4 linked regions of the Nothobranchius furzeri genome follow. The protein of the gene in region 1 purifies or fractionates together with the protein of each later gene. This does not show direct contact. Links are inferred from orthologs where the notes say so. Each region holds a gene or a part of one and is shown on either strand. Other genes may lie near its edges.

Region 1 (7,681 bases):
AATGCGCGTAGGTGGGATTGAGGAGCTCCTCAAATTATTCTTTCCACCATTCCGCTGCTGCCAGGGTGGGTACTCTGAACTGATATTTGGCCCATAAGCACAAACAACAGTCAGGACCCATTCCCCGACCCGAAGGCGCAGGGAAGCTACTCTCTCGTCCCCCGGGGTAAACCCCAACACACAAGCAGAGAGTCTTGGGGCTAACAAAAAGCCAACCCCAGCCCTCCGCCTCTCACCCAGAGCAACTCCAGCAAAGGAGAGTGTCCAACCCCTCTCAAGGACTTGGGTTCCAGAACCAATGCTATGTGTCGAGGTGAGTCCGACTATATCTAGCCGGTACCGCGTAACCTCTGCCACAAGCTCCTGCTCCTTTCCCACCAGCGAGATGACGTTCCATGTCCCAAAAACCAGTTTCCCTTGTCCAGGAATTGGACCGCCAAGGCTCCCGCCTTGGTCTGCCACTCGATCCACATTGCACTGGACCCTTCAGGTTCCTCCTGCGGGTGGTGGGTCCACAGTTGGATGAGCCCATGTATCCGGTTCGGGCCGGACCCGGCCGGGCCCCATGGGCGAAAGCCCGGCCACCAGGCGCTCACTCACAGGCCCCAACCCCAGGCCTGGCTCCAGGGTGGGACCCCGGTAACCCTCCGGGCCGGGTACTCCGACTCTTTGAATTTACATCCATGAAAGATCCTCTGAACCGTTTTTGTCTCACCCTTCACCTAAGACCAATTTGTCATGGGAGACCCTACCAGAGGCACAAAGTGCCCCAGACAACATAGCTCCTTCGATCATTAGGGCACTCAAACTCCTCCACCACGATAAGGTTACGGTTCAAGGAGGAGCGACTGTTCAAGCTCACAAATTGCCATAGAAATTTCAAGATTGCAACAGTTTTCAGACAGCAGCAATACACTGTGGTCCTGGCTGACTAGCCTTTAGCAAATCAATCCTTTAGGACATTTTTGTAAACAGAGGCTGATCAGAAACAGAGCCTAAAATAATGTGTTTATAACTTACAAGGAAAGGCATCTGAAAATGCCCTTTTTATTATTGTTATTTGGACCTTTCTAGACCCCGTTATCGTGTTAAAATCATCTAATCGCCTCTATACAGGCTTTACAGCTTCATGGCTAAATGGGAAATGGTCTGTATTTAACCTGTACTTGATATAGCACCTTCTTGAGTCCTGGAACCCCCCCAAGGCACTTTACAACACAATCAGTCATTCACACGTTGGTGGTGATGAGCTACGATGTAGCCACAGCTGCCCCGAGACGCACTGACAGAGGCGAGTGTGCTGTACACAGGCGCCACCGGTCCTTCCGACCACCATCAGCAGGCAAGTGTCTTGCCCAAGGACACGACAACAGCGACAGACTGAGCCACTGTTGCCCACATTTAATTTTATTCTTTTAAGAGACGTTTACCTACTCATTATGAAAAAGAATGACATCCACTTTACCTGCATGCAAACATCTGGCCTATCTTGAGTATTTTTTATAAAGCATGCTAAAAACATTAAATATCACCAAATACAACCTTATTTTACTTAAAAAGCACTTGTTTTCTTAAAAAATATTACAATCACAAATGAACTGAACTATTAAACATTTGCGTGGGTTTTTGGGATTTTATACATGTAGTTTTTACAAATACAATCGTGGTAACTTTGCTACCTCAACACAGACATAATTGTTGGGACCCCCCTGCAACCTTGTGGGGACCTCCTCGGGGATCATGGACCCCAGATTGGAAACCACTCATCTAAAGCGGGATTTCACACAGAAAAATTAATCCAACATATGATTTGTATTTGTTTTACTGGTTGACGCGGATGACTCCCGTTACAGGAAATGTCTGAGAATGGGGGTGGTGGGCAGCTGGTGGTGAAGGCTCGATTCAACTTCAAGCAGAACAACGAGGATGAGCTGTCGTTCGGTAAAGGTGACATGATCCTGGTGACGCGGCAGGAGGAGGGAGGATGGTGGGAGGGCACGCTCAATGGCAGGACAGGCTGGTTTCCCAGTAACTACGTCCGAGAGATCAAACCCTGTGGTGAGTTGGAGTGTCCTGTCTGGGTCGTATGATAACTCAATCTCATGGTGGCAGAGGTCCTAAAATGATGATTACATTAAATATAATTAAAACTACTTTATCTTACTGTTAAAATGGATCCTACGTTAGTTTTGAATCAGTTTTTTGAAATTCTTCTGATCATGTGTTTGATTTCCAGAAAAGTCTTTGTCTCCTAAAGCAACTCAGCTGACCAAGAACTACTACAACGTGGTACGTTATACCGTACGGATAAAATACCTTAACTTCATGGCAATTGTTGACTTTATGGCCTTCAGCAGTTCAATCTCTGGTAAAATAAATAATGCAAAATATTAAAACCATACTAGTGACATTGTATGATTGTAAGTCTTTTAAAAAAGGAAAATACATTTCAAAGACAGACGGTTATTGTTTGTCTTATTTTTCTACCCTACATTCAGGACATCCTTTTTTATGCTATTTTGTATTTTCTTTGTTGTGTTGCTTTACTCCAGGTGGTACAAGACATCCTGGAGCATGAGCGGGAGTTTGTTAAAGAACTGCAAACAGTGTTGAGTTGTTACCTGCGACCTCTGCAAGCCAGCGACAAGTAAGATTAGAAGCTGAAGATGTTTTATTTATTTAAATCTGATTTGTTTATTTGAATGGAACAAAGTATATTGATGCTGAACGTACATAAAATGTAAATATGCCAGAGTTAGCTAAGAGCTAGTTTCCATCCGTAGTCCCATAGGCACTCACACATTACCTTATAGATGAAACATGATGGAATACAAAGCATGGTTAAAACATTAGCAAAATAAGCAAATTACACTAAATCAAGAAAGAAATACTACAGAGACTTTAATTTGCTTTTAAAGGAATTGAAAGAGGAGCTGTCTCTTCTGTCAACTCACTGCATCCCCTGAGTGAGCGTATTCTGTGCAAACAGGGTTTTCCTGAAATTAATCTTGCCATCCCCTCTAATCACTGACCTAGTCTCTCAGATGGGTCTTTGCCATTTAAAAATATCTGTTAAAGGTGCTGGGGCTTGGCCTGTGAGAGATTTGTAAATGAGGCAAGAATTTTTAAATTAAAATTTCGAAAGTACAAAAAAAAAAAATTTAAACTTTATAGATGTTGTAAAAGGGTGGTTTCCTATCTAAAACCTTGATTGTGTTTTTGCTCAATTGGTTTCAATGCAGAGTCACTGACAAATGACCAAGTTGTAGCGAAGCAATATTTGATGTGTGTTTAAATCCAGTCCTAAAGCTGGGTGGATCACTCAAATTCATTTTTTAAAAAGCATTTAATTAATCTACTACGGTCATCGTAAATATTTTGTTATGTACATCTGCTTTAAACTCAGTATTTACATGAATAAAGTGGTTTCTCATCATAGTATAACCTAATAATTTTCTGGTGTTACACATTTATGTTTAATCTCAGTTCAACCACAGCAAGTTCTTTCAGTGTTAGTGTCAGTGGGGTCACACACAAAGCAACTCTACAGGCGTTAGTATGTTAAAAGTTAAAGTTTGTGGTGGGTAAATTAAGGTTTAAATCCAGAGTGTCCAAACCTTTCAAAGCAAGGGCAAAAATCATCCAAAGTCTTCATGTAACAAAAAACGTATTTGACTTTGTCAATGAGTAACAATTAGGGGTGTAACGGTTCACGGGAGGTGTTGAACCGTTTTGGTTCGGCCTGTTTGATTTGGTCCACGTGCGAACTGTTTCGGTTTATTTTTTCCGCTAAATAATGAATTTTTATTTGCGTGATTTAAGTGCAGCAGATAAAGGTTCCTAGGCGAGTTTCCGCACTGACGCTGTATTGAGTGACGCATGATGGCTGTATGTGCCCGATCTCCATTTAAAAAATGTGATCTGCAAATTCTGAACAACACCTTTCAGAGCGGATCAAACCAGCTGGCTGTCGCTGCTGCTGTGGAGCCTGTAGAGATGCTGAACGGAGCGTTGTGTCGCTCCTGCCTTCTCTCACACTGCAGGCACACAGTGGCTAAAATGTAAGCAAACACATCTGCTGAAGGTTTCATCCTACAACAACAAATACGGCACGAAGGAAGCTCGTTATTTAAAACAAGTTTTAAAGAAGAAACTCTGGGCGGTGTGAGGCGAGTTTTTAAGGCTCGCTGCAGAAATAAAGACAGGAGCATCAACAGTCAAACACACTTGTCTGTCTGTGGTGACACTCATAGCTGCATAAATAACCTGTGAAATAATTAAAAACATCATGCAAGATCAGCAGCCTGTGATGACACCTGGTTCTGGTCACTATAGGAGCTGCTTCAGATATTAAATAAATAAATATAATATACCAAAAATGAATTGAACCAAACTCTTTAAAACACGGGACCAAACCAAATACGATTTTAGCGTACCGTTACACCCCTAGTAACAATACACATCAAAATGTTGAACTGTGTGAATCTACAGCACCATCCTACTGGAGAAACAAAGTTCCTCAACAGAAATGCATAAAATGTGCTAAATGAATCTGAGTGCTGCAAATGGCCCCATGGAGTAACATGGTTAGTTTAAGCTGTTGGGAAGTTTTGACTGGAAAAAAAGCATCACTCCTCTCACAAAGATGCAGTATGTAAGAGTATAGTGAGAATTTTACAGTGAGAAAATCTCAAAAGAGTCTGATGTTTCAGTAATTTTGTAAGGAAGGTTATACTGAAACATATTTCATATCCAGCTGTGGGGATTGTCAGTTTTTCTCCTTTCAAAACAAAGGAAGGAGGGACGTAACTACTGTTTACCATCAGTGAGTGTGGGGTTGCCGTGTCTCCTGCGAGCTAATACTGCAGCACTGGCAATTGTCATTTGCGATGGCCAGCAAAAAGCTCCAGAGTAATTTAAAGTAGTTGCAGTAACCTGATTTTACCACAGGATGTCATTTTTACTTCATTTCTACATAATGCACCTTTAAAGCAACAAAGTGGCACAGCTTATAAACATGCATAGTTGCATCTGATCAGATTATGACTAAAAATAAAATTAACCTCTCAGCATACACGTGTCAATGAAGCATGGCGGTGGAGAGTTAATGATTAGAACTTAAACTTAAAGGCATCAGACCCTTGCAGACATTTTGTCAATTATAAACTCCTCTGTGACATTCTAATGTTTGCATCTGCAGTAAAAGCTGGGTTGAAATTTGGTCATGAAATCAGCATCAGCATATTGATGAATTTATATTCATTATAGCATATTGAATTTATATGCACAATATTTGTGTGGTGCACTTCAAACTCTGACTGCTAGGTGGAAGCAGTTTTACTGCGTTCGTTCTGGCGAAACAAGATCTTTCAATAACATCGAGTGTGCCTTGGTGGCGTTTTCCAATTATATTACGTCTTAAAATTGTAAATATCATCTGGCTTTTAGTATCACAATATATCGTATTGTCTCCCCTGATATATATCGTAATGCCAGATTCTAGCCAATACACACCCTTTTTGTAAAGAAAAAACAATGCTGTACTGCAATGGCTGAGTTAAACCTGGGCCCCAGGCTCACAGATTCCTGCCATGGAACTACAGAAACCCCAGTGAGCTGAAGCTGTGTTGTAATAATTAAATAACTTTGACCGTTAATCTTCAGAGATGTGACAACCTGCTGAAAGTGGTTTTACCATCATTTTTGTAGACATAAAGCTACAAAAATGATGGTGTTCATCAGAGGTTGCTTTGATCTGAAGGACTGTGATCTGTAAGATCTGAGAATGGGAAAGGATCAACTGCCTTTTGACCATGACTGTATGCATCACATGGTTGAATATATTTTAAGTAGTTCATACTTTTCTTTTCTGATGATTGCATCTTGTATGTTTAGATTAAGCAGTGCAGACAGCAGCACCTTGTGTGGAAACCTGGAGGAGATCCTCACCTTCCAACAGGGCCTGTGTTTAGCTCTGGAAGAATGTACCAAGTAAGTTGTGAAAGTCGAAGATCAACCTAATGAATTGTAACGATTACATTTACATATTATTTAATGAACCATAAAATGTGAGATTCCATAGGAAATATGAAATCAATTTTATGGACCTTTGGATTACTTAAACCAGAAGATTGGAACTTTTTATTGCAGGGATTATGTAACCACTTCGTATTAACTCAGAGACAAAAGAAAGAGAGTCAGGTTTAAAAGTTTAAAGATTTATTTCTAAACAAATTAAAACTAGACTAACTTTAAACACTCAACACTCTGTGTGATGGATGGATCTCGGTGTGAATGAGGCAAGATGGATGGTGTGTAGAGTGTTGTTCAGAACCAGCAAATCTGGAGAAATGACTAGTTCTGATGGGAGTGAAGATGATGTTTCGCTCTAAGCTTTGGTCTGGAGATTATAACACACATTGAGACGCCATTCTGTCGGTCTACATACCCAGCGGAAGTCCCCGTCTAGATTAGGAGGTGTAGAGGTCCAGCTTGGACCTTTCTGGAGCCGAAGCCTGTAGCACAGCAGCGGCTGCCGACCAGTCCTGTCTTGAGATACTCCCAGGTCACGACAGTTTTTTGGTATCTAGCGAGACCCAAAAAGGGGTCGATGGTTCAGCTTTTATTCCGAAAGGAACCGTTGCAGCAGGTGGAACATGCAAGAGATTTAATCCAGCTTGTCGTTAGGTTCTTTCGGCTTTAAGAGAAAAGTTACGGATTGGCCATTCTGACAACTTCTCTAGAATGCTTAAATGAATTTAAGATGACGTGGGCATAGTTTTATAATTTGGATGTTTTGATTTACGGTCGAATCAAAAAAGGGACAACAAGAGGGGATTTACCAAGCACCGACAAAACCACGCCTCGCGTCAGATCTGGAAGGTTCTGATTGGATCTGAAAAAGGAAATGTGTCATGTGACTTTAAGCATTACGTGGATGAGAATGTCTAGTGCAGCTAGTTTAAAGTTATATTACTTATTAACATACTACTGATCATAACATTGTCATTTCACAGATTGGTTCACATTTATTATTGGACTAACACTTTGTTTGATTAGCTTTATTAAAAATAGAGTTCTTCTGATTTATTAAAGGAAAGAGTTCTTTGTCTTCAATGTGCTAATGCTAACATGAGCCAACTGATATGAGAATATATCATGAAGTAAAAAGCTCAATTAGTTGGACAACAAATATTAGTTCAGTGGCAAAAAAGCCAAGTCACCATCATGCTGTGATTTTGTAGCCTCCTTCAGCTCCCTAATAAGTGTAGGCCGTGCCGATGTTCACTCTGGTTTTAGCTCTTTGCTTCATCTCATAAGACATTGCTCTCTTTTGCTTCTAGACTTTGCCATGATGCCAACAAAAAAAAAAAAAATTCTTCCATTTCTTCTACATGTGATTTTTATTGACCATTGGTGAACATTAAAAGCTAACTGCTAGCCTGTATGTTAGCTACCAGCACAGTAAATCGTAGTGGTGCACCGAAATGAAAATTTTCGGCCGAAAACTTTTGGTGCCCGAATTTTCGGTGCATCCCTATTAAATAGCTATTGCCATAAAGCAAGTCCACTTTTGCACCTACCCGCCCCTGTGTTGACAAGTTAACACACATACCTGAAATGAGGTTTAAAGAACACAGTGAAACTCAGGGCAAGTTCCTCATAAAGAAAAATCGTACCC
Region 2 (8,432 bases), on another chromosome or scaffold:
TCTCTGGCTTAGTGCCTCTGTTTGCTTTAGAGATTTGTGGCTCAGTGTGGCCCCCGAAGCCTCCTGCCGCACGCCGGTCGGGACACGTGGAGTTTGGATGCAATGTAGGTCAACGTTGTGCAACGCTGCAGCGCCATCCTGGCCCGTCTGGGTTTCTATCCCATCAGCTGGCCACCAGCCAAGGAACACACTCGTTCTCTGGTTTGTGAAGGGATCCACGGTCACACAGCTCACAAAAATACTCAGCAAACGGCCAAATTCCGGGTGATTTACCATGAAGGTAAAACAATCGGAAACATAAAAGCAGTCACAGCTGGAGGTTACCAATCAAGCCAACTGGTGGTAAATCCTGTCTTATTTTAATGGTGACTTCCTCTGGCTCTGGCTGTAGGCCACATGCTGAGTCATGCTCTGCAGCAGCCAGTCAGGCCCCTCTGATGATTTATGGGTAAAAATAAAATGCTTTAATAATCCAGAATCACATTTATTTTTCTGAATTTAACACGTTAATCTAATTTGTCTGATCCGATGTGAATTAACATCAAAGTGAACCAAAACTTTTATGCAAATCCACTAAAATTTATTCTGCACTTGCCTTTTAATCTTCGGAGGATCACATTTATGGATTTTTAGAAACGTTGCCGTGCAGCCAGAGCTGCCCGTCCGGGCACCACAGGGTCGCCCCACAGGAAGCTAGTCGCTGCATCAAAATGCTATCAGCCCCGCTCCGTGTGCAGCATCCTGATGAGACGTGATGGAGGCCGTTGTAAGCGCTAGCAGGAAGTGGGCTGTGCCTGAATGAAGACAAAAAGAAAATGGTGGCCTTTGCCTGGCTTGTGCAAGTTTTAATTCTCTAATCAACTTTCCTTCTGCAGGCAAAGGAGATCCTGACCAAAGAGTCCAACGTCCAGGAGGTGAGATGTCCAGTGACCGTGTGTGGCGACGTGCACGGCCAGTTCCACGACCTCATGGAGCTGTTCAAGATCGGTGGGAAATCGCCGGACACAAACTACCTGTTCATGGGGGACTATGTGGACCGAGGGTACTACTCTGTAGAAACCGTCACATTACTTGTAGCTCTTAAGGTGACTTTGTCAGACATTTAAAACAGTTTTTTTTTCCTCTTTGGGGTGAAAAACGCGACGTAAACAGATGTTTGTGTTTCAGGTTCGCTTCCGGGAGCGCATCACGATCCTCAGAGGGAACCACGAGAGCAGACAGATCACACAAGTCTACGGCTTCTACGACGAGTGCTTAAGGAAATACGGAAACGCAAACGTTTGGAAATACTTCACAGACTTGTTCGATTACCTCCCCCTCACTGCGCTGGTAGACTCTCAGGTGAGAGGAGCGTAATAAAAAAGACCGAACTTGACGTTTCTTTGAAAAGCATCATAATTTGTTATAATTATCGATTTTTTTTCCTCAGATTTTCTGCCTCCACGGGGGCTTATCACCGTCTATAGACACGCTGGATCACATCAGAGCTCTGGATCGTTTACAGGAAGTGCCGCACGAGGTAAAGAAAGACGTTAAATGTGGTGCAGATCAGCAACGAAACAATAAAGATAAAAACGTTTGTGACCATTCTCGTTGTCACGCAGGGTCCCATGTGCGACCTGCTGTGGTCAGACCCCGACGACCGCGGCGGCTGGGGCATCTCTCCCCGAGGAGCTGGCTACACATTTGGTCAGGACATCTCTGAAACGTTCAACCACGCCAACCGCCTCACGCTGGTGTCCCGCGCCCATCAGCTGGTCATGGAGGTTTGTCTTTGTGTCCAAAGATGATTAAAAACAAAGAAGCAGTGCCGCTAAGTTCAGATGCGTGTTAATATTACATCTGCTTACCTCAGGGCTACAACTGGTGCCATGAGAGGAACGTGGTGACCATTTTTAGTGCTCCTAACTACTGCTATCGCTGTGGAAACCAGGCAGCCATCATGGAGCTAGACGACACCCTCAAATACTCTTTGTAAGCAGGCGAATTTCATCACGAGTGGACAAAGAAATCTTAGAATAAGTTGTGATTTTTTTTCTTCCTGATGTTCCTCCTCAGCTTGCAGTTTGATCCAGCGCCTCGCAGAGGAGAGCCCCATGTAACTCGCCGCACCCCAGACTACTTCTTGTAAACCTGCAGTCTCGACCCGCGCACGGTCCGGTCCGGTCCTGTCCAGAACCACCAACCTATCTGACTTTGAACTGAAAACAACGTGATGGAGGCCTGAGAGGCTGCAGTGTTGCACGTTGTGTTTATCCAATCTAGTTAAAGCATTTCGCAAAAGCAAATGTGTCTATAAACGGACCAAAAGGTGTGTGCCATGATCACTTAAATATTTATTGTATCTGAAATGACAAAATAGAACATCCTGGATGTCTCGGCTCCTCCTCCTGTACATATGGAGCTGGGTTGACGGCACCAAAGTCCAAGACTAATTTGCTACTGCAGACCATGGTTTTTGAGATTTGAATGTGATTTGTTTGCACTTTTGTACAGTTAAAGAAATGTTAAATATGTCAAAAAGATTAATACGATTTCACGATATTGATAGTTTTTTTGTTGTTTATTTTTAAATTGCATGTAAACCTTCAGTTTTTTTTGACCTGTGTATGTTTTAGGAAAATCCCTTCTCATGCAGTCAGATGGCTTGGTTTATAGAAAAGATGGAGTGTTCATCAACTCACCTGCTTCCTTTTAGCTTCAGACTCTATAATAACCTACTAGAATAATAAAGATGACTTCTTGAATTGTGTTTTTGGTTATTCTTCATTCTTGTAAAAAGTCTAGTTATATTTGGATTTCTCTGGCCAGTTGTAATTACACTGACACAGCAAGGCGAAGACATAAAAAATACATTTATTTAAATGTGAATTTAAATTATTGTGCTCCATAATATTAGATTGTATTGAGAACAGAAGTATCAATTGCCCAAAACAAGCAAACTTAATGTTGAGAATTGTGTTATTTCAAATAAAAGGCGCATAAATGCAATTTTATTAAGTTTTTCCAGAGCAATCTAAGCCAGCCTGGATCCTGCTGGAAACAAGTCGCATCTGCCGGAAAAAAGGGGAAATACGCCACCCTGTGGTTGTGAATAGGCACGACACCACACATAGACAATCGCAGGCACTGACCCTAGTGCTTCCTGTTATCTCTTCACAAAGTGTAACTAATAAATTAGACTTACACATTTTCAAAAATAAATATATTTAAATTTAATATTTTTAAATATTATTTTGTATTTGATATATGACATAAATTTTTCTTACCGCACCACCATGCCATATACAATAAATGAATGATTTGTGTAGTCTGTTGTCAAAAGGAGTCATGTACTTTAAATTGTTATTGGTACACTGACAGAGAGATTTATAATGAAAGATACACATAGAAAGTGATCATTTTATTTTTATTAAAAAAAATAGAATAGCACAAGACAAGTCACTGTTATCACAAAAGAGCTTATTTGTTCCATGTAGACAAAGTATTTGTCTTTTTATAACACAAATTCTGATTTAAAATCAAAGTGGTTCGAGATGAGACAATCAAAATAAAATCTGAGCTAGGTAAACAAGAAGCGATGCTGACTGGTAGCCACCGCCACGATTTGAGCTCGGCCCTGCTGTGCTCCCTTCATTAGCACATGTTGTTAAGGGAAGCCAATTTATCATATAAAATCGGAATTGTACTGGGGTTGTTTAAAGGAAATCGGCACTTGCTTGCTTTTAAGTGTTGTTAAGTATCTACCTTACTAAATATACACTGTGGGACAAGACAACTGGTATTTACCATCGACATATACGTATTTACGTTTAATAGCTTATGTTTGGCACGTTTTGATCACCTTACTTTATAATGTATTCTGCAAGAATTAAATAATATCACGGTTTAACTTGTACAGACATTTTAAATGTAATTAATGAAAATGCTGTTTTGTTTAGAACAAATAAAAAAATTGTAGGGCATTAACATGATTATATGTTACAACGGATTGCCATACAGCGGAAAAGGTTGATCCAGAGGCTTTTAGCCGCTGTTCGTCACTTAAAGTCTAGGCCTTCCAACGGACTCCTAAGGATATATAACCTTTGAGTTTTTGTTAAATAATCACGGTATGTAGCTTCATGTTCTGGTGACCTGATAAAGTTAGGTTTAAATAGATTTTCACGTCAGGTTTATGCGTCAATTTGAAACGCCTCGATGATGTAGCAAAGAGGCCTAGCTGACAGCAAAGAGCTGGCGAAACGAAGAGTCAAGATTTAAGCTTTGTGACATACATTTTAGACACAATTGATTGTCTCGCCTGTGATTAACATGTATTTGTTTACCATTATTTGTAATAGCGAACATCTTTCAATGTATTTTTCTTTTAAGCACACGGAAACTAGCTAACTTTAGCATTTCCGTCTTGTAGCTTGTGTCATCGTTAGCTTGGGCATTAGCGCTTCTCAAATAAATTAGATTTACAACAGGTGGTATTTATTCAGTATGAACACACAAGTGCATCTGGCAAGTCTTATGATAGGTATTATTTATCAAATCAATAGCTTTTGTTTATACAAAGAGCTAATTGTATGTTAGCTTTTCGTTAGCTTGTTGTTTGCTAGCTTAGTTTGGTAATTGAGACAATTCGTCGCGGATTACGTCTGCTATTGTCGCAAAATTAGCAGTAAATGCACTGAATGAATATTATTGTTCATTCCAGAAAATGCCCACGATAAAACTACAGAGTTCTGATGGGGAAATTTTCGAGGTAGACGTTGAGATAGCCAAACAATCCGTCACCATCAAGACCATGTTGGAAGGTAAAATGTTCTGTTCATTTCAAACGTTCAAACTTGATTTTGTGAGTTTATAACTGACGTAAAAAGAGTTATCAGTTTTTTTAATTAACAGTAAAGATCGTTTGGGTTGAGGCTGAATTTTAACGTTTTTTTTTTTTGTGTGTGTGGTCAGACTTGGGAATGGACGATGAAGGAGATGATGACCCAGTTCCCCTTCCTAATGTGAACGCGGCTATCCTGAAGAAGGTACAGAACGCACAGCTGTCACAATGACAACAGCAGAGTCATCAGATTTGTTTCACATCAGTCGATGGGAGAAAAGTGATTGGTTTTTATTTGATTTCTGGATTTCACCGTGACAGTTGGGTATACCGCAATAGTTGACTAATCGTGTCATTCAAAAAAAAAACTATAGGTTATTGCACCAGGCTGCTCTAATATACCCATCATTAGCTTCTAGTTTGAAGTTTAATCCGTTATGTGCCATCTAATAATAAACTTTTAATTAACTTCATAACTTATTAATACAAATGCTACAGTCAAATGGAGGTAGGCACCTAAAACCAAAAATAAATTGTCTACAAAAAATTACTTGTGTTCGCAAAATGTATTCTAATCTTAACTCAGGAAATAGCAGGGCACATCAAGGTGCGCCTCTGTAGCATGGCTGGTACACCCGTCAGCAGTCAGGGGATCATCGACAGCTTTGAGGGTCTGCTTTATTGTAAAGATATTAAATTTAGTTTATTTACCAAATTAATAATTCTGTTATAAAACAAAGTAGATTAAAATTCAACACATGTAAACTGTATTATGCACCAATATTAGGTTCCTGATTGCTCAGTCAGCAACCTTTTTATTTGATCATAAAACACATTAAATTCCAATAATTATTTGTGTCCAGAGAGAAAGAGACTAAGACTTGAACACGCGCGCACACCTTAAAGGTTGTTTCGTATTTCTTTTCCATCATGCTGGTGAATGGGCATCAGCCTGGTAGGTAGTTGTCGTGGTATCCTTGATCATCTTTTTGAAACCTCGATCACCGACCATGGACAGGAGTCTCATGACCAACATGGTCAGGACGTTAGCTTGCTGAGGTGTTCACGTAACCAACTCGTCCATTGAAGAGGAGCATTTTTATTAACACTGTAGCGTAGCGGGATGAAATCATTATCGTTTGTAATTGGAGCAAAAATACGTGACATACAAACGTGATCTAATGGTAATAAAAATAGCCACCGCTACTGCTGTTGCTACACCTATAACTACAAGTAACTCTCTGTTGATGCTAGCAGCTAAAGAGGTAAACTTAGAGAGGCGACTCTTTATTCTCTGCCATGACGTGCTTCCTTGTAAGGTGCTCATGCATCGCCGATGTGCTCCCGTGAAAGGAGAGTTTCCCTTTGCAGAGTTTGCACTATGTGCTTTCCTTAGTCTATGTATAATACTCCAAAACTTTTGAGCTATGTTGCCGACTCGCTATGTCTTCTTTCTCCGGTGACGAAGGCTGATCTGGATGGCCACTACTGCGAATGCGCCTCGGAGCTGAAAACAGCCACTGACCCGGATGGGGACTAATGCGCATGTGCATTGAGCAGAAAGTCAGGAAGCAACCGCCGAATGTGCCGCAGCAGGCGAGATTAAAATTAATGGTCACAGAATAAATAATGCATCCACTATTAAATTAGTAGTCGAGTATTTTGTTTGTTGATGTTGTGACGAGTCGACTAATCATGGCAGCCCTATATAACTTATTAAGAGGATGCTCAGTCTGTCTTTGTTATGTTCTGTCCTGCCAAATCAACTGACACGCTCCTTTAATCCAGATAAAGGTAAAACTGTACGTGTAGATGCACCTCAGCAGAAGATCTCAAAATTCCTTCATCACGGGGGAATGTTGTGCACATGTTTCTGTCTGCGTAAATCTTAACACGAATGTATAAAATTATGTAGTTTCAGTTAAGAATAAACATGTTTTCCCCTTTAGGTGATTCAGTGGTGCACTCATCACAAAGATGATCCTCCTCCTCCCGAGGATGATGAGAACAAAGAGAAAAGGACGGACGACATTCCCGTCTGGGACCAGGAGTTCCTCAAAGTGGACCAAGGCACCTTGTTTGAACTCATTCTGGTAAATATGTTTCATTAAACATTATTCTTATTTTGCTGCTAAATGCGTTAGCTACATTGAAATTGATGCTTTTCCCGCACCCCTTAAACAGATTTTCACCCCTCAGCAGAATTCTTAACTCTTGAGGTTGAATCAACTGGAAAAAATGTCCTCTCTGTTTTTAGGTCATTATTAGAAGTTTGGGTCAGGCAAAACCAGAAAAGTTGTTGTTTTTGCAAATATTACACATAGTTTATAGTTCTGCTACAAATTCTGATTGGCAGCCGACCTCTTCGCCGCAGCTCTCCATAACACTCAGCCTAAAATGCGCTCACTGTAAACATTACTATAAATAAAATAAGTGTTTAAAAAGGCAACTTATTTTGTATTGTACAGCTATAATTATTCATGTGAACTGATTTGAAATGTAGTTTATAAGAGGAGCTTGGAGACGTTAGCGATCCACTTGTGTTTGGATTAGCTTTAGCACATCATTAGTTAAAACGTAAACACTTTCTTCAAACTGAGGCTCTTCAGGAAGCTGTCTACAAGAAGTAAGATAAAAACTGATGTGTTACACAGAAACACGTCAGAATGTCCCAAAGCCCCATGAATATGTTCTTCAAACGATATAAGTGCTTGTTTTCTCTTAACTCCGATCCAGATCTTTATTTACACCCGTTACTTCAAACGTCCTCGTTTGATGATTATTTTAAAAAAAATTTTTTTTGTCAAGTTTTGTGTAATTGGGTATTCTGTAGGGATGGACAATATAACGGTATCGGCTGATGTTAGCTATTTTTTAACATATCTGTTCAATAAAGAAAACCAGGCCAATATTAACAACCGATATTTTTCCATCTTGTCCCCATTTGTTTGCCTGTTTCAGAGGGTGATGTGTAATTTAGTCTTGTGAACAGTGAATGAAATCATTTCAGAACCATAAATGTGTGTGGTGTGTGTACATAATAATGTAAATCCAGCTTTAATAATTTATAATTTTCATTCTATACAAAATCTGCTGATTTTAGAAGCATTAATGCCAGTATATCGATATCGACCAATATCGGTATCGGCACAAAAAATTTCATATCGCCGATATATGATATCGGTGCATCACTAGTATTCTGTCTAGGGATGTCCCATTCCGATATCAGAAGCAATTCATTATCGGCCCAAAAACACTATTGGATTATATCGGACTGCATCATAAATCTCCAATATAAGCAGTTTGTTAAGGTTCACATTTTTGCGACCAGTGGTTTAAAAAAAGGGTCAAATTTTTTTTCATACTTACTGTTATTGGCTCTTGTTCTCCGATTGAGTAATATCACTTCATCAAGCCTTTCATACATTCCACACTACGGAATAGGTAAAAGTATGATTTGTGCTGGTATCGTATTGAAATCGGTGTCGTATCGGGACATCCCTAATTCTGTCTTTTTTGTGGTCTGATTTGATCACCAAAAACACAAATGTTGCTTAGCAACATCTAGTAAAAGAGACAGATGCTGATTTTAAGTTGTATAAAAAGT
Region 3 (8,257 bases), on another chromosome or scaffold:
TGCTGCCTCCGGAGACCCACAGACCAGCCACGCCCTGTAGGCCTCCTTCTTCAGCCTGACGGCTCCCCGAACCTCTGGTGTCCACCAGCGGGTACGGGGGTTGCCACCACGACTGGCACCGGCCACCTTACGACCACAGCTAGCAACAGCCGCCTCGACAATCGCAGAGTGGAACAAGGCCCACTCGGACTCAATGTCCCCCACTGCTCTCGGGACGTGGTCAAAGCTCTGCCGGAGGTGGGAGTTGAAGACCGTCTTGACAGGTTCTTCTGCCAGGCGTTCCCAGCAGACCCTCACTATGCGTTTGGGTCTGCCAGGTCTACGCGGCATGTTCCCTTGCCATCTGATCCAACTCACCACCAGGTGGTGATCAGTTGACAGCTCCGCCCCTCTCTTCACTCGGGTGTCCAAAACATACGGCCGCAGGTGTAATAAAAATGAACTTGTCATCTGTTGTATAATTGCTTTATACAAGTTATTGATCACTACTGTTTGTCAATCACACTTATCATGAGGATATAATCAAGGATAATCATGGTAGAGCCGAACATAATGTGATCATGAGGATGTAATCAAGGTAATCCTGGTGGAGGTGTGCAGCTTTGCACGCACATCAGGGAATGTATAAGGAGCAGAGCAGAGCTCAGAGCTGTTAGAGCTGCTTGTTGGATTCTACCTGACGAGGTTCATGGATTACATGTGTTCAGTTCTTCACCTATCATGGATTACGTTTTCTAACTGGGGTGTTCAGCTCTCCACCCATAAGCAACGGTAAGAGAAATGTTTCGTTCATGATTGATAACTTGTATGAATGCCGGTTGAATAAAGCCTTGTTGTTCATCTGATATTCAAGTTGTGTTTCATTGTTTCTGGCGTCGACTTGACAACGATCCTGATTAAATAAATATAAAGTGTAAAAAAGAGACTTTGAGTCTTTTAAGGTAATTAAAATAAAATAAAACATTTTATTTTAGAACAGCAGGTCAGATGATACGACTACAAAATCTATCATCGACCTGTGACCTAGGCTGCCCTGGTACCAAGTGTACCGGTGGGCATCCTTATGTTCGAACATGGTGTTCGTTATGGCCAAACTGCGGCTTGCACAGAAGTCCAATAACAAAACACCGCTCGAGTTCAGATTAGGTGGGCCGTTCCTCCCAATCACACCCCTCCAGGTCAAGCTGTCATTGCCCACGTGAGCATTGAAGTCCCCCAGCAGGACAATGGAGTCCCCTGATGGAGCACTATCTAGCACTCGTCCCAGGGACTCCAAAAAGGGTGGGTACTCTGAACTGATATTTGGCCCATAAGCACAAACAACAGTCAGGACCCGTTCCCCGACCCGAAGGCGCAAGGAAGCTACCCTCTTGTCCCCCGGGGTAAACCCCAACACACAGGCAGAGAGTCTCGGGGCTAACAAAAAGCCAACCCCAGCCCTCCGCCTCTCACCCGGAGCAACTCCAGCAAAGTAGAGTGTCCAACCCCTCTCCAGGTCTCGGGTTCCAGAGCCAATGCAATGTGTCGAGGTGAGTCCGACTATATCTAGCCGGTACCGCTCAACCTCTGCCACAAGCTCCGGCTCCTTCCCCGCCAGCGAGGTGACGTTCCATGTCCCAAAGACTAGTTTTCTTGTCCGGGGATTGGACCGCCAAGGCTCCCGCCTTGGTCTGCCACCCGATTCGCATTGCACCGGACCCTTCATGTTCCTCCTGCGGGTGGTGGGTCCACAGTTGGACGAGCCCATGTATCCGGTTCGGGCTGGGCCCGGCCGGGCCCCATGGGCGAAAGCCCGGCCACCAGGCGCTCGCTCACGGGCCCCAACCCCAGGCCTGGCTCCAGGGTGGGACCCCGGTAACCCTCCGGGCCGGGTACTCCGACTCTTCGTTTTAACCGCCATGAAAGATCCTTCGAACCGTTCTTTGTCTCACCCTTCACCTAAGTCCAATTTGTCATGGGAGACCCTACCAGGGGCACTAAGTGCCCCAGACAACATAGCTCCTAGGATCATTAGGGCACTCAAACTCCTCCACCACGATAAGGTGACGTTTCAAGGAGGAGAGAATAGAATATTGACTCTGATGAAGAAATTCACTCATCCAGCCGGGATGCTGCAGCATCAGACAGCTGGTGCTGCACGAGAGGTGTGTTGAGTTTACAAGCTCCAAACGTTGGGTCTGATGTTGGTTTAACCTTCTCTGGGACGTGATGGATGTATAAACGATGGTAAAACACCGCTAACGTGACAGATGTAGCGACAACGTAAAAAAAAAAGCCGTAAAAAAGAGGCAGATGCCGATGTGTTTTGTATGGAAGTCAAGTGTGCCACATAATCATAAAAAAATTAAAATATACAATTTTAAGAGAGATTTAAATATGTATATATAAATAAAAACTTTCCACACATAATGAAAATATCTAAATAACGTAAAAATACGAAGGAACATCTGTTGGTCAGGCTGAAAAGTTTGGGAACCACTGCTCTAAGTGATAAGTGAATATTGTTTTTTAAATGTATTTTATGTGCAGTTTTTTAGGGCTTTCATGTTTTCTGTAAAGATTGGTATGCTGAAAATCATTTAATGTTTTGCATAAAGCATGAGGTTTTGGTTAGTAATTGGAAGAATAACAAATGACTGAATTAAATAGTGGAGCGCCTCTGTCAGTGTGCCCCAGGGCAGCTGTGGCTACATCATAGCTCATCACCATCAGTGTGTGAATGGATGAATGATACACTGTAGTGTAAAGCACTTTGGAGTCCTTACTCTGAGAGGCGCTATACAAGTGCGGATCATTTATCATTTATAGTGTTGATCAGGCAGAGCTGTGTTGCCAGCGTTCCACTGCATAATGGCTTCAGACGCGTATACAATAGTTTTTACGTAAACCATTGGAGGAAATTACACAAACTGAGCTCTAGTTAAGGTGCTTGCAATAGTGTGTGTGTGTGTGTGCGCGCGCGCATGTGTTTGGGGGAGGGTATATTGGAACATCCCCCCCCCCCCCCAGTTTGAAAATCCTATCTGTGCCCCTGTATATACACAATTTAAAAAGTAAAAGGCTTGTTATACAAAAATATAACTTCACCTCCTGTGGAGTAAGTCTGTTCCATTTTAATCGTTTTCTTTGACCAAGGAAGAACAGTGTCCTCAAAAGAAAGGCGCCAGGCCTAGCAAGGCAATGACTTGGTGCCTTAATATTGAAAAACACACAGTGATTTTTTTTTTCCCCTTCAAAAGTCTAATTTAGGTTTGGGGCTTTTCAGAAAACATCCGGGGCTTGAGCCCAAGTGGCCACCTCCTAACCCCGCTTCTGCATTACCGTAAAGTGGAATTATGTATTTATTTAAAATGAAATTTTAGACACTTATTTTGAAAGTTTCAGAAGTAAAAAGGAAATTTAAGTAAAGCTAATCTGATGCAACTTTTTACTCTAAAGAGATACTAATACGACTCACCGGGCCGTTTCCGCTCACAAGCATGTTCGTGCGGAGTTGACTTCCTGCTAAGCTAATCCGTTTCTCCGCCTCAGCACCGCGAGTTTGTTTGGTTTATGAACAAACAGCTGCAGGTGCTCGTGCATTCGTGTATGGCAATCCGATTGGATCGAAATCCGTTCACTTTTGAGCAGGTTTTGTTGTAAAACGGCGTTCAAATCTCCGTTTTTAAACTTCCAACGCCGAAAAACCAGTTGAAAATCCCTTCAGAACGTCGTCTTCGTGAAGTTTTCAGAGCACCGTAAAAACGACGTATTTTCTCGTCTCTGAACACCGCACAGAGGCACTCTGAACACATCCTCCAGCCAACGGTAGAGCTGCAGTCTCCCTGTGACGTTAACGTGTGTGTCCCGTAGGTTCCAGGAGCGGAATAAACGACTCACACCGGAGCTGCGTTTCACCTGAGCTTTTTGCTGCGCAGTGCGCACCGAACTACGAACGATCTGTTTGCAGCCGAAGCTTCGGCTCATGTTTCAAATACACCAAAACAGAAGAGTTATGCTCCCTCATAGCGCTGGGCTCCCTGAGGTCAAGGTTTCTTACTTCCTGTTTAATCTTTTCACAATAAAAGCACAAATTCATAAATACAGGCAATAAAACAACACACAGCGTTCCCTATATTAAGGATTAACGATGTTCGGAAGAACCAGTTCTCTCTGAGCCAGGCTGGGCTGTGGGGTGGGGGGAGATCCAGCAATCAACCGGCTGGGAAAGCTGACCACGACACCCGGCTTCCGGAGACTATAGGACCGCAGCGGCTGGAGGGCAGACATCCGTCTCTGGTTTTCACATCGGCGCAGACTTCAGCTGACTGTTGCGGCCACTTCCGATATGTCAAGAAAGCTTCAAAGGACAGAAGTGTGCGCTGATTGCAGTGCTCCAGGTAGGCAGCGGGGTAAATAAAAACGGAACAATGCCAGGGGAGGGCTAACGGGGCCGGGGATGCTGCCACTGTGGGCTTTCAGAGCAGGAAACGGCCGGGAGTGTCGTCAACTAGGCCCCAGACAAACCGTGAAAAATAGCTGAACGCCGCTACACCGCGGTTAAAAGCCCTGTACCTGTTTATAAGGACGATAACACACATCTGTAGCAGGTTACTGGTGGTGGCTAATAGAGTTTGCCTTTGTTGTTAGCTTAGCTTAAGCTGCTAGCCACTCCAGCCAAGCTGATCCGGAGTTTGAGATTAAAGTCGTGTCGTGAAAATTGAGACGTGATAAAAGTTTGCATGAGTGTCGCAGCAGTGTCCCTTAGGCAAGGGGACCAGTAAAACAACTCTGACCCCCGAGTGGTTTGGTTATCATGAGTCAGCGTCATCCGGATGAGGTTTTGTCACTTTTAGGAGCATCATTACGGTTCTTCAGCCTAACTGGTCCCTGTTGCATCAGAAGGTCTGATCACTCCAACTCCTGTTTATGTGGCATCAGCAAAGCTTCTCTTTCCAGACCAGCAGCAGGTTTCTGACTGGAGCTGACAGAAGACAGCACATCACTCCCGTTCTGATCAGGATTAACTGCAAAGTCCTACTGCTTGCAATCAAATGTTTGAAGTCAGGTCCCTCCCTATCTAAGTGAACTCCTCCATTTCTACCACCCCTCTGGTGCTCTTAGGTCTGCAGATAAACTCCTCCTCACCATCCCTAAGGCATGTTTGAGGGCTTTTTGTATCTGTGCCTCGAAACTTTGGAGTTCCCCACCCCTTCCTGTTAAGCCGGGCGTACACTGTGCGACTTTGTCACTTTTTTGAGCCGATTTTCCACTCGTGCGAGAATCCACGACATCGGGGCGAGTTTTGCGCCGAGCGTCGTGTAGTGTACAGGGGGTTACGAGAGGCGATTAAGGCCTAGTCCACACGTAGCCGGGGTTTTTTAAAATCGAATATCCTCCCCTCCAAAAACTCGCATCCACACCACTGCATTTTAAAAACAAACTCTGTCCACACGTACCCGGATAAATACTTTGTTAAGGACATGCCAGACCTGTAGGCGGCAGTACTTCCCCCGTTCTTAACCTCGTCCTTCGTCTGTGGTCTTCTGCAAGGAGGTGTAATTCTGCTTGCAAAAACAAACAAGTAAAAAGCGCTTGGACAATTGATGGATCGGGTAGTGACAGAGCGCAGCTCTGAGGGCATCCATGCTGTCGGCTAGTGTAAACACAGGTCGCACACGTGATGTCAGCATTTTTTGTCGCGGAAAGTGACGTTGCGGACCTTAAAACTCCGGTTTTGTCCGTCCACACGCAGACACCCACAACGGAGAAAACGCAGATCTTCACTTTGGCCGGAGTTTTTAAAAAGATCAGTTTTCGTGTGAAAAAGCTCCGTTTTCGTGTGGATGACAGGCCAAAACGCAGAAAAATATCTACGTTTTGGCAGATCCCCGGCTACGTGTGGACAGGGCCTAACACCACGTGACCAGCTGCCGATCAGCAGTCGTGAGGTCGCACGGACTTCTGGCGTGTTTAAAATTTTGCTCGTCCCTCGTGAGGGTATGGCACTGTTGAAGCGGAGCTGCGAGCAGCTGCAACCCAAAAAGTATCAGAACCGCTCACGGCGCATGCGCAATCCTGCATCAACGCCGCTTGCTCGCTATTTCCCTAATAACACGCTGTTCGCTTTTATTTCTACACGTTTTTTTACTCACAAAGATTGTCAAGAAAGCGTGTTTGTCGTGTTCATGTCAAATTAAGCTGATCACAAAACACAGATTTACTTTCTTTTAGGGCAGGGTGATACGCCCAAAAAATAAAATCTCCGATTTTATTTTCTTTAATTCGATTTCCGATTTTTTCCGATTACACCCCCCCCCCCCCCCCCCCCCAAGAAAAGGACACCAACAAGTACAAACAGCAGACCACTTGAAGCTACTTTTGCTTTTATTTAATCAAAAGCAAAACGTGTAATGCTCTTCAGGGATGAATGGCGAATAACTGAAAACCCTCTTGGAATCAAAGTGCCAGGTGTGTTTTGAGTCATACTCTGTTGTCTAGAGTGAAATGTGACAAACATTCCCATTAGAGTAACACCATTTTCTCAAACATTAACAATACATTCAAATACAGGTAAAACTAAACCAACCCAAACAGTGCGACAACTAACAGGGATAAATGCATCATACTTTTCAATCCAAAAACAGAGAAAAAAAATTATCTGTCTTTAACTTGCATTTACGGTAAAAGATTTACTTTGCATATAATTTTAAATAAAAACATAAGTGCAAAACTTCTTTCTTGGGTAAAATACTAATTTAAACAAAAATTAAGAGTACAAAAATTGCAAAATAAACAATATTCAACTCCAACTGAAAAGTGCCAACTTTTGTTAAAAAAATAACTTTAACAAACGATTTGTGTCCCTGAATGTAGAAACAGGAGAGAAAAATCACATTTTGATTGAGCTGCTGAACATGAGATCTGTGCTTAAGTTTGGGTCAATAACATTTATATATTTTTGGCAAGGAAAATCAGCCTGTCCACTGCCTCTGGCTTGAGGCAAGCTCGGCTGCATTTGACAACTCATCCTGCCGCACTGAATAGCCTCTCAGATGGGGCACTTGTTGCAGGGAGACTGAGGTATTTCTTGGCCAGGTGACTGAGCCTCGAGAAGTTTGATTTGTTGCTCTTCCACCATTGCAGTGGATCAGTGTCAGGATCTACCTCTGGGATGAGCATATAAGTTGCAAGTTCAGTCTCTATTTTAGCCTCTTCCGACTGGTCAGGGCCAGGGGTTGGCACACTCTTCTTGAAGAAAGTTGCTAAGGTCTTTTTCCTCTTGGGATTTGGCTGAGGCCTTGCCTCTTGGTCCACCTGCACAACTGGACCAGGCTGTGGTGTGCTTTTGTCAGTGGGGAAAGACAGAAGTTCACTGACAGCTCTTCTTTTGATTTGCTCCACCTTGTCTGGGTCGATGTAGGATGTCCGGAATCTTGGATCCATCAGAGAGGCCATGTCCAGGAGTTCATCTTTGACAGGATCACTGTATTTGTTAACAAGGTATCCCAGTATGTTGCTTTTGATTGTTTTGGTAAGCTCTGTGTCGTTGTCCTCAGGCTGCAAAAGACTTGTTTTGAACAGATGGATAACAGGCTTGATGTATGAGACACTAACATACATTTCCCCTGATAAAGCATCTGTAAAATCTTGGAGTGCTTTAACCGCCTTGTTTACTCACTCCAAAACCTCGATGTCTTGCCAAGAGGGCAAGAGATGGCGGCTTTTAACTTCAGACCCCAGGACACGGGCAATAGCCTTCTCCTGTTCCAGTAATCGCTCGATCATCTTTTGGCGGGAGCCCCACCTGGTTGGAGATTCTACTATAAGCTGATGAGGGGGAAGGCTCAGCTCTGACTGAGCCAAACCCAGCTCTCTTCTTTTCTTCCAACTGTAGGAAAAAGCAGCAACTATCTTCTTGCAAACTCCAATGGCTCGGTCTATGCGGGTATCCTTAACACCATTCTCTGTATGATAAAGAATAAAACACAAAGACATGCATCGCTATTGGGGACTTGAATAAACAACTACATCCACCTAAAAATGATTTCTTCTGTATGTCTACTTATGTATGAACATAGTAACACCTGCAGTCGTTACACTGAATATATGTTTGGTGTATATTATTTTTATGTTTTAATCCATGGGCAGAACTTTGCAGCAGCACAGTGATAAATAAGCACAAATACTATTAATAAATTTAGAAGAAAGAGTATTCAACAGGACACATGATTAATATGAGCAGAATTCTGTGCCATTAGGAACTGAATTTGAATTA
Region 4 (8,145 bases), on another chromosome or scaffold:
ATGATCATTTAATTTAATCGATTTGACAGTACAAGGGTGTAGCTGCTAGCTTTGTTCTTCTATCTTTTGAAATTATTATTATTATTACTACTAAGGGGCTTAGCTTCATTTTAAGAAGTCTTACATCTAAAATAATAACAGAAGTCTAAATAATCCAGGGTAATGGCTGAACAATCAACACGGGCAATGTACAAATTAGCATTTTTCCACTTTTCATTCATTTTTTTCCTGTTATTTTAAAATTTTAGGACCCAACCACTTTTATTCAGCCTCAACAGTTAATTACTTTATGCCCAAAACAAAGTTTAACAGTGCAGGTTCACACATTTAAACTAGAATTCTTTCGGTTGTGATGGAATTAATGTCAGATGAAAAAGATTAAACTAAAAAATGTTCTTTGCAGTTTTACTCCTATGTTTAATAAAAGGAGTAATTATTCATCAGCGGTTGGTCTCTGTGTGGGTTAAGAAACTGATCAAACCTTCTGTTTAGATAACTGATAAGGTTGTCTGCAAAGAATGTAATTCATTATGCAGCCGTAACCTTAGCAGATGTTCACTCTGCTACAGCAAAACAGGAGATTTGTTTCAAGTAAGTTTTGATTAATTAATCATAGGTCTTTGATTTTTATTTAAAAAAAATGCAACAGCAGATGTTGAAAGTTCCTCTTTTCTGCAGGGAGGAGGATCTGAGTGATGACATGGAGGCAGTGGCGGTTCTGCATGGTATTACTCCCCGGGCGAGGCCCCCTTTGAGCCCGGTTGGACGTGCACGGAAAACCTCACCAAGGAGGCATCCCAACCAGATGCCCAACCCACCTCAACTGGCTTCTCTCGATGTGGAGGAGCAGCAGGTCTACTCCAAGCCCCTCCCTATCTCTAAGGAAGAGCCCAGACACCCTGCAGAGAAAACTCATTTTGTCCGCTTGTATCTGCGATCTCATTCTTTCGGTCACTACCCAAAGCTCATGACCATAGGTGAGGGTAGGAACGTAGATCGACCGGTAAATCGAGAGCTTCGCCTTCTGACTCAGCTCTCTCTTCACCACGACAGACCGGTACAACACCCGCATCACTGCAGATGCAGCACCAACCCGCCTGTCGATCTCACGCTCCAGCTTTCCCTCACTCGTGAACAAGACCCCAAGATAATTAAACTCCTCCATTTGGGGCAGGACCTCATCCCTGACTTGGAGAAGGCATAATAATTGGTGTACTGTTGTGAAATGTGAGCACTTAAACAGTAATCTGTATCTATAATTGGTGATTCCATTGTCAAGCCAAACATCCAGTATCCAAAGACCAGAGAGCCACGGCTGCACTATGGTGGGATTTTTAAGCATTTATGTGAAGTGAAGAGGTAAATGTTCAAAACAACAATTAAGAATGATGAAAGTTTTGCGCCATTTTGTTACAAATCAGTAAATGCATTTTGTTCTCATGGGCTCCCATAAAAGGAAACGTGTCATCTAATATGGCGTCGCCCAGAGACTTAGGGTGTTTCTCAATGTCAAGACACCTGGTCTTGTGAGGCGATGTCTTGCGAGGCCAGGCGCCTTGCTTACGAGGACACTGTCCTTCCTTGGTCAAAGAAAACGGATAAATGGAACAGACTTGCATCACATGACCGCGGCTTCCACGGCGGTCATGTAACGTCACGTGACACTGGAGATAAAGTTATATTTTATACGTATTAGTTTCAACATAAATATATAACGAGCCTTTTACTTTTTAAATTGTGTATTCATTTGTTAAATAAAAAATATAAGTGAGATACTACCCGCTAGCCACCGAACTGCAACTAAGCAACTAACCAACCACAGATAACTTCTTTGGATCTAAAAAAAACATTTTAAATTAGCTGACGTACTTTTAAACTTGAAAATTGTCCCCAAAGTAGCTGCCGACTTCTGATACGCCATCGTTTTGAAAATGCCGCGGTGTATTGTGGGTAATTTTTGACCAAGGCTAGGCTACAAGACACCTCCCGCGTATCCTTGCTCAGCTAGCTAAACGGCAAACAAACGTAGAACACACACCTCGGTAGAACATGAACATTGGAACACGGCTCTTGATGATGTATCTCCTAGGCAACCGGGGCGGGGCCAAGACATCAAGGCAAGGTTCCTTGGCATTGAGAAACACCCTTAGACTCGCTCCCATGTATTTTAGACACGATTTTTTTGGTTATAGTTTACAAAGGTGCCAATATTTTTCAACAACTGGGCTTCATTTTATTGATTTTCAACAACATTTTGTATTTCTAGAGATTAATGGTAAAAGCTACACATTGTCTCTTTAAGAAAACAAAAATAAAATTCTGACTTTTAAAGAAATAATTTTAACACTAAATCAAACAGCATTCTTTGTTATAAATAATTAATATCTTATCTGAAGTAAAAAGCTCTTTGATTGCCCTCAGTTTGGAGAAACACAGACCACAGGTGTGAATGGAGAATGTTTATCTGTACTGATGAGGATTTTATATTTTCATCTGAATTTTCATGTAAAGTAAAAATTTCTGCAGTTTCAAAGTTCAAATGGTGTTTAAAAGCCTTTAGATGAACTGCTAGAACAATGATGAGATCTGAGTTGTTTTAATACAATAGAAACCCACTTTTAATTTACCCTCCTGGAACTAATCAGTAACTTATTTGCCTAGACACAATCAAATTTTACTATTCTCTGTTTACCTGCCTGCCATTCTAACCAAACTACAACCTTCACCAGAGCTGGGGAGTAAGCAGCTCCAGTCAAAAGATCTCTGCCAGATACTGGGAGATCTTGATGGATCAGCCGAAGTTCCCCAGTCATACTGCTGTCACCTCCCTCAGACCAGACGCTGTTCTTGTGTCTGAGGCCAGTAAGCAAGTTTTGCTGTTGGACTTAACAATTCCCCGGGAAGAGCCCTGGAGAAAGCTCTCCAAGTATGGAGTGGACTGGTTGGAGAGTGAGAGTGAGGTGCTTCCCAGTGGAAGCTGGATGCAGGGGTTAGATCCCTGCTTGATCACTGAGTTGCCTTGGCGTAGAGGATAAGCATGAGACACGAGCCATCAGCAGCACCACCACTGAAGCAGTCGAGTCGAGGCAGTGGAGGACGAACCACTGATGTAGATTGTTCTTAATATTTTTCAGAGTTCCAATTTAAAAGATCTGAAGGATCATTTTGGTGATTTCAAAATCATCTTTCCTGCTTTCAAACTTGTAAATATGAAGTTTAGTAATTATTGTAACTTTGGAAATCATAATTACAAGATCAAAGTCATAACTATGACTAAAAATAACACCATAATTACAACCTTGACAGTTATTAAAAATTATATTTATGACTTTAAAAGTCAGATTTCTAAGACAAAAGGTTGCAAATGTGATTAAAAGTTATAAATCTGAGATGTTACCATAACTGTACCCTAATCGAGCCAATATACGTTTCCCGTTATTGTGAGATGTATCATTTTGAAGTTAAAAGTCACCACATTGCCTGATATTAGGCACCAACAATGAAATAGACAGGAAATATTTTAAAGAACTTTTTTTTTAAATTTATTTAAAAGTTGATCATTTATCATAACTAACCCTGATCACTGACTGTTTCCTGCCGCCGGGGGGCATCAGTGCATCACTTACACTTTCTATTTGTTTCTCTTCCAGAGGAAGGTGGTGCTGTTGCTCACCAGCCGCTCATCGTGCGCAAAGATCGGCGCTGAAGCTGCAGAAGGATGTGCTCTCCGGACGAATGTTTTGGATAAACGCAGGGAGTTTGACCAGTAACCATTTTCACTTTTACAGTCTGCAGAGCGCACCGGTCCGAAGGTTCTGGAGCCCCCGGTGGTTTGGGTCCGTTTTGGAGCAGCGTGCCTCAGAGCCGGACACACGGTCCAGTTGACTGGAGTTCGTAGCTTTTAGGGAATTTAAACTTTTCCGTTGTTGGATCTGGAGTTGTGTTTGTGATGTGAGGGCGCGCACGAGGCCAGTCGGGATGCACGCTGGAAGTTTAGCCCCGCACCCGTTGTCCTGAACTCCCACCTCTTCTTTTCGCGCATTTTCACCGCATTTTTACTCTACTCGGGTCTGCAGGAAGGTTCGATGCGAGAAGAAGAGCAAATGGCCAACGAGCGGAAACCGCGGCTGTGTGTGATGAATAAAGGGGAGAACGGGTATGGCTTTCACCTGCACGGAGAGAAGGGGAAGAGCGGACAGTTCATCCGCCAAGTGGAGCCCAACTCCCCCGCAGAGGCGTCGGGGCTGCGCGCCGGGGACCGGGTGGTCGCCGTGAACGGCGTCAACGTGGAGAAGGAGACACACCACCAGGCGAGTGGATGTGTGCTTTCATATTTATGATTAGAGTCGAGTTACATGTCTGCCTGCGAGGGTGCATCAACAGGTCACACACACACACACACACACACACACACACACACACACACACACACACACACACACACACACACACACACACACACACACACACACACAAAGTGCGCAAAACCCGCCCCCGCCACACTAATCTAATCTGTCGCATTGAATTTACAGACTTTCAGCATATTGGCATATTGTTGAGGCTGATAAACACTCAGACGCTTCAGCTGCAGACTTTGTTCTGTCTGAGCCCAAAATGATCTGCAACTATCAAATATCTCTGCCCCAAACCAAGTTAAACTGTCTTATCTGTCAGGTCACAGAGCAGCAGGAGGTTTTTACTTTTGTTTCATCACTCTTCTGATGGGTAATGGTTCTTATAGATTTGCATTTATCTGTGTAATTCATTTTAAATTCAGTTGAGTTAAAAATCTGATTCAGTTTTCGACTTCATTCCTCTCATCCACTAACTGTCATTGAGGCCTGACCTCAAATGTTGTGTTTTCTCACAACTATGGTGGTCTGATGGTGGGAAACAGTAACAGATGAGAGAGAGAGGGGGGTGGGGCGTGGGGGTCAACTATTTAATCCACTAAATTTTGGCATATGATTGGACAAACCTTTGATTGGTTTGATATAATTTTTCTCCACAAGCATATACTCAACATGAGTTTATGCACGTTTGTTTTTTGTTGGAATTTGGGACACTGATTTTGTTTTAGAGTGCCGAAACCGATTTCTGACTCTTGTAACAGCTCAGACTTGCTGATGCTGGTTTGGCCCATTCAGATTCATCTAACTAACATTAAAGAGACAATGTGTAGTTTTACCATTAATTTCTGGAAACATCCATCAAAATGTAGTTGAAAATGAATGAAATGAAGCCCAGTTGTTGAACAATATTGGCAGCGTCGTAACATCTAACCATAAAAATCTGGTCTAAAATAAATGGGAGCGGGTCTAAGTCTCTGGGCGACGCCATATTAGATGCTATGTTTCCTTCTACGGGTGCCCATGAGGACAAAATGCATCTACTGATTTGTAACAAACCGTTACAAAACTTTTGTCATTGTTAAATATGTTGTTTTACACGTTTACCTCTTCAATTGTTGCCAGTGATGAAAGAGAGTCTGATGTGCTTATTTTGCTAAAGTTTGCACTCCCCAGGGCTTTTAGACCCTAATGGGCTTCCGTTGGTAAGGTCTTATTCCAACACAAAAATACAGCTTTCTTACAACGATTTAGGTATCTACTGCCCCCTATGGCCAGAAAAAATACACACTGTCACTTTAAAGCGTTCATTCCGGAGCTAAAACCTTGCACATGTAACATCAGTTACTAACATCGATGAGCAGTTGTCTGGTGAGTTCACAGACCAGGAAAAATGTCAGATGTTTTATTGTTGACGCCGCTTACAGATCAATATAAAAAAATCAGAATTCCGAGTTTCTGATCACCAGACAATCTAGCTCCTCTCTTAATTATTTTTTCGTCTAAACTGTTGTGTTTTAGCCTGTTGTTGCTATACCCATGAACATCTTTAGTCTATTATTTTAAATCCTCCCAGATTCATGAGCTAATGGCTGGGACTATTTAAACCAAAACGTTTCACTGCCAACTTAAAACACCTTTAATCTCCCAAATCTCACAACAACAGCTAATGTGAACGTTTATTTAGAAACCTTTACATCACTGTTAGTGGTTACGTCAGCTGGAACTGTCTGACTCCTGCTGGATTTGAGCCCTAAAAGCACCATAAAGAGCTGAAGTTTGATCATGTTGCAGGTTTGTTTTGTCACCTCATACTTAAACAAGGGCCTGACAGCTGGGACATTTAAAACAACAACCATAATCTAGTTCTTACATTGTTAAAGGTGCAGCATGTAAGAATATAGTGAGAATTTTACAGTGAGAAAATCCCAAAAGAGTTTAATGTTTCTGTCATTTTAGAAGGAAGGTTATAGTGAAATATATTAGCTGGATGCTGGGATTGTCAGTTTTTCTCCTCTCAAAACAAAGGAAGGAGGGACTACTGTTTACCATCAGTGAGTGTGGGGTTGCCGTGTCTCCTGCGAGTAATACTGCAGCGCTACAATTGTAATGTGGCAATGGCTAGCAAAACGCTCCAGAGTTGTTGAAAATGGTTGCACCAAATTTTACCCCAGAATTTCATTTTTAACTTCATTTTTTCTACATAATGCACAATGCAGGCTGGGTCTCCCTGACAGAACATATAATACTGACAATAACATAGTTTCATATGTTATTAACATGTATAAAAGTTAAAGAGCAAGTTCACTGAGAAACCGTTTTAGATTGTTCTTTTTAAATTACGGTCGGTCACTCTGACTTTCACAAGCAGGCTGAATGTGAAATTAGATAACAGACAGGGAAACGCTCAGATCATGGTCAGGTCCTCATGACGGGGAAGTTCTTGTTGGTTTAGCGTCCAGGAGAGAGCAGACCGTGTCCCAGCTAGTAGAAGTTAACCATTAGCATTAGCAAATCCACAACATGGCAGAACTCCGTGAGTCTTGTGTTATTTGTGGAGATGACAGATCAGTGTCAGTGTTAGAGTCATGTTGCTGTTAGCTAATCACAGGTGAGATGTCCAAATATCATGAATACTAACGACGAGTAAGACTCCAAATCCTTCCGTTATCTGGCCTCTACTCCTCCGGGTAATTTCTACTACCTGAAACAGGAGCGCCAGAGCTTTTCTCTCACAGAAATAGTAAAGACCACTGCAGATGTCAAAGTCAAGGTCCCAATAGTTGTCACACAGGGGGAGTGGTGAGCTGCAGACACAGCCATATTCGGGAACTATTTGGTGGTTTAATCCCCCAATCCAACACCTTAATGCTGAGTGTCAAGCATTGGGTCCCATTTTTTCAAAGTCTTTGGTATGACCTGACTGGGATTTGAACCCCGATCTCCCAGTCCGAGGGTGGACACTCATACCATTAGGCCACTTAGCTGGTAATGTGTTGAATTAACAAGTGAATGAGAGCTTAACAAATACTGTCACGTGAACCATTGAGGGATACTCTATGATCTTCACTTAAGCCTAGTTTATGCTTCTCCGTCAGCTCCACAGGGGAGAGACACGCACGCACTAACAGAGACGTTTTGCTCTCAGACTTCTCCGCTGCCTGGGGAGTGTTGCAAAGTGATTCCCCACCAGGACAGCAGAGGGCGTAGCGCTGTTCTGGAATTTCCTGCTATGTATCCGGTCCAAGATAGTGCACTTTCTGTAGGAAGTCTAAGCGTGTTTCTCAATGTCAAGGCGCCTGGCCTTGCGTGGCGATGTCTTGCGAGGCCAGGCGCCTTGCTTACGAGGACACTGTCCTTCATTGGTCAAAAGAAAACGGTTAAATTGAACAGACTTGCATCACGTGACCGCGGCTTCTTTGGATCTAAAAAAAAAAACATTTTAAATTAGTTGACTTACATTTAAACATGAAACTTGCCCCCGAAGTAGCTGCCTGCTTCTGATCTGCCATCCTTTTCAAAATACAGAGGTGTGTTCAGGGAAATTTTTGACTGAGGCAAGGCTACAAGACACCTCCCGTGTATCCTTGCTCAGCTAGCTAAACGGCTAACAAACGGATAACACACGCCATGAACATTGGAACACGTTTTGGCAGTTCCTGATGAAGTATCTCCTAGGCAACCAGGGCGGGACAAGACATTAGGGCAAGGTTCCATGGCAAGTCTCCTCCCTTTCCGGTCGACTCATGGGTCCCCGGATAAGCGAAAAGATGAATGCAAGTCAATGGGGCTAAAA

Evidence for each region.
Region 2: the proteins of arhgef6 (region 1) and skp1 purify together in Homo sapiens (affinity purification with mass spectrometry; 3 studies listed by BioGRID and IntAct, with this or other methods). This does not show direct contact. The link is inferred for Nothobranchius furzeri from reciprocal best matches to the Homo sapiens genes ARHGEF6 and SKP1.
Region 3: the proteins of arhgef6 (region 1) and git1 purify together in Homo sapiens (affinity purification with mass spectrometry; 3 studies listed by BioGRID and IntAct, counting the BioPlex papers as one, with this or other methods). This does not show direct contact. The link is inferred for Nothobranchius furzeri from reciprocal best matches to the Homo sapiens genes ARHGEF6 and GIT1.
Region 4: the proteins of arhgef6 (region 1) and Na(+)/H(+) exchange regulatory cofactor NHE-RF2 purify together in Homo sapiens (affinity purification with mass spectrometry; 3 studies listed by BioGRID and IntAct, with this or other methods). This does not show direct contact. The link is inferred for Nothobranchius furzeri from reciprocal best matches to the Homo sapiens genes ARHGEF6 and NHERF2.

The regions. Positions count from the first base shown.
Region 1 is NC_091741.1:83,139,552-83,147,232, reverse strand, and holds part of arhgef6 (rho guanine nucleotide exchange factor 6), read left to right. Parts: intron 1-1,853; coding exon 1,854-2,058; intron 2,059-2,236; coding exon 2,237-2,289; intron 2,290-2,552; coding exon 2,553-2,647; intron 2,648-5,895; coding exon 5,896-5,991; intron 5,992-7,681. UniProt on the Homo sapiens protein: Acts as a RAC1 guanine nucleotide exchange factor (GEF).
Region 2 is NC_091750.1:60,007,924-60,016,355, reverse strand, and holds the start of skp1 (S-phase kinase-associated protein 1), read left to right. Parts: upstream 1-3,967; 5' UTR 3,968-4,112; intron 4,113-4,705; 5' UTR 4,706-4,708; coding exon 4,709-4,805; intron 4,806-4,956; coding exon 4,957-5,030; intron 5,031-6,774; coding exon 6,775-6,918; intron 6,919-8,432. Other genes in the region: ppp2cab (serine/threonine-protein phosphatase 2A catalytic subunit alpha isoform), read left to right, coding at 876-1,085, 1,168-1,341, 1,430-1,519, 1,605-1,766, 1,856-1,974, 2,059-2,131. UniProt on the Homo sapiens protein: Essential component of the SCF (SKP1-CUL1-F-box protein) ubiquitin ligase complex, which mediates the ubiquitination of proteins involved in cell cycle progression, signal transduction and transcription.
Region 3 is NC_091753.1:16,483,912-16,492,168, reverse strand, and holds the start of git1 (ARF GTPase-activating protein GIT1), read left to right. Parts: upstream 1-4,073; 5' UTR 4,074-4,327; coding exon 4,328-4,379; intron 4,380-8,257. UniProt on the Homo sapiens protein: GTPase-activating protein for ADP ribosylation factor family members, including ARF1.
Region 4 is NC_091752.1:53,772,156-53,780,300, reverse strand, and holds the start of Na(+)/H(+) exchange regulatory cofactor NHE-RF2, read left to right. Parts: upstream 1-3,662; 5' UTR 3,663-4,085; coding exon 4,086-4,310; intron 4,311-8,145.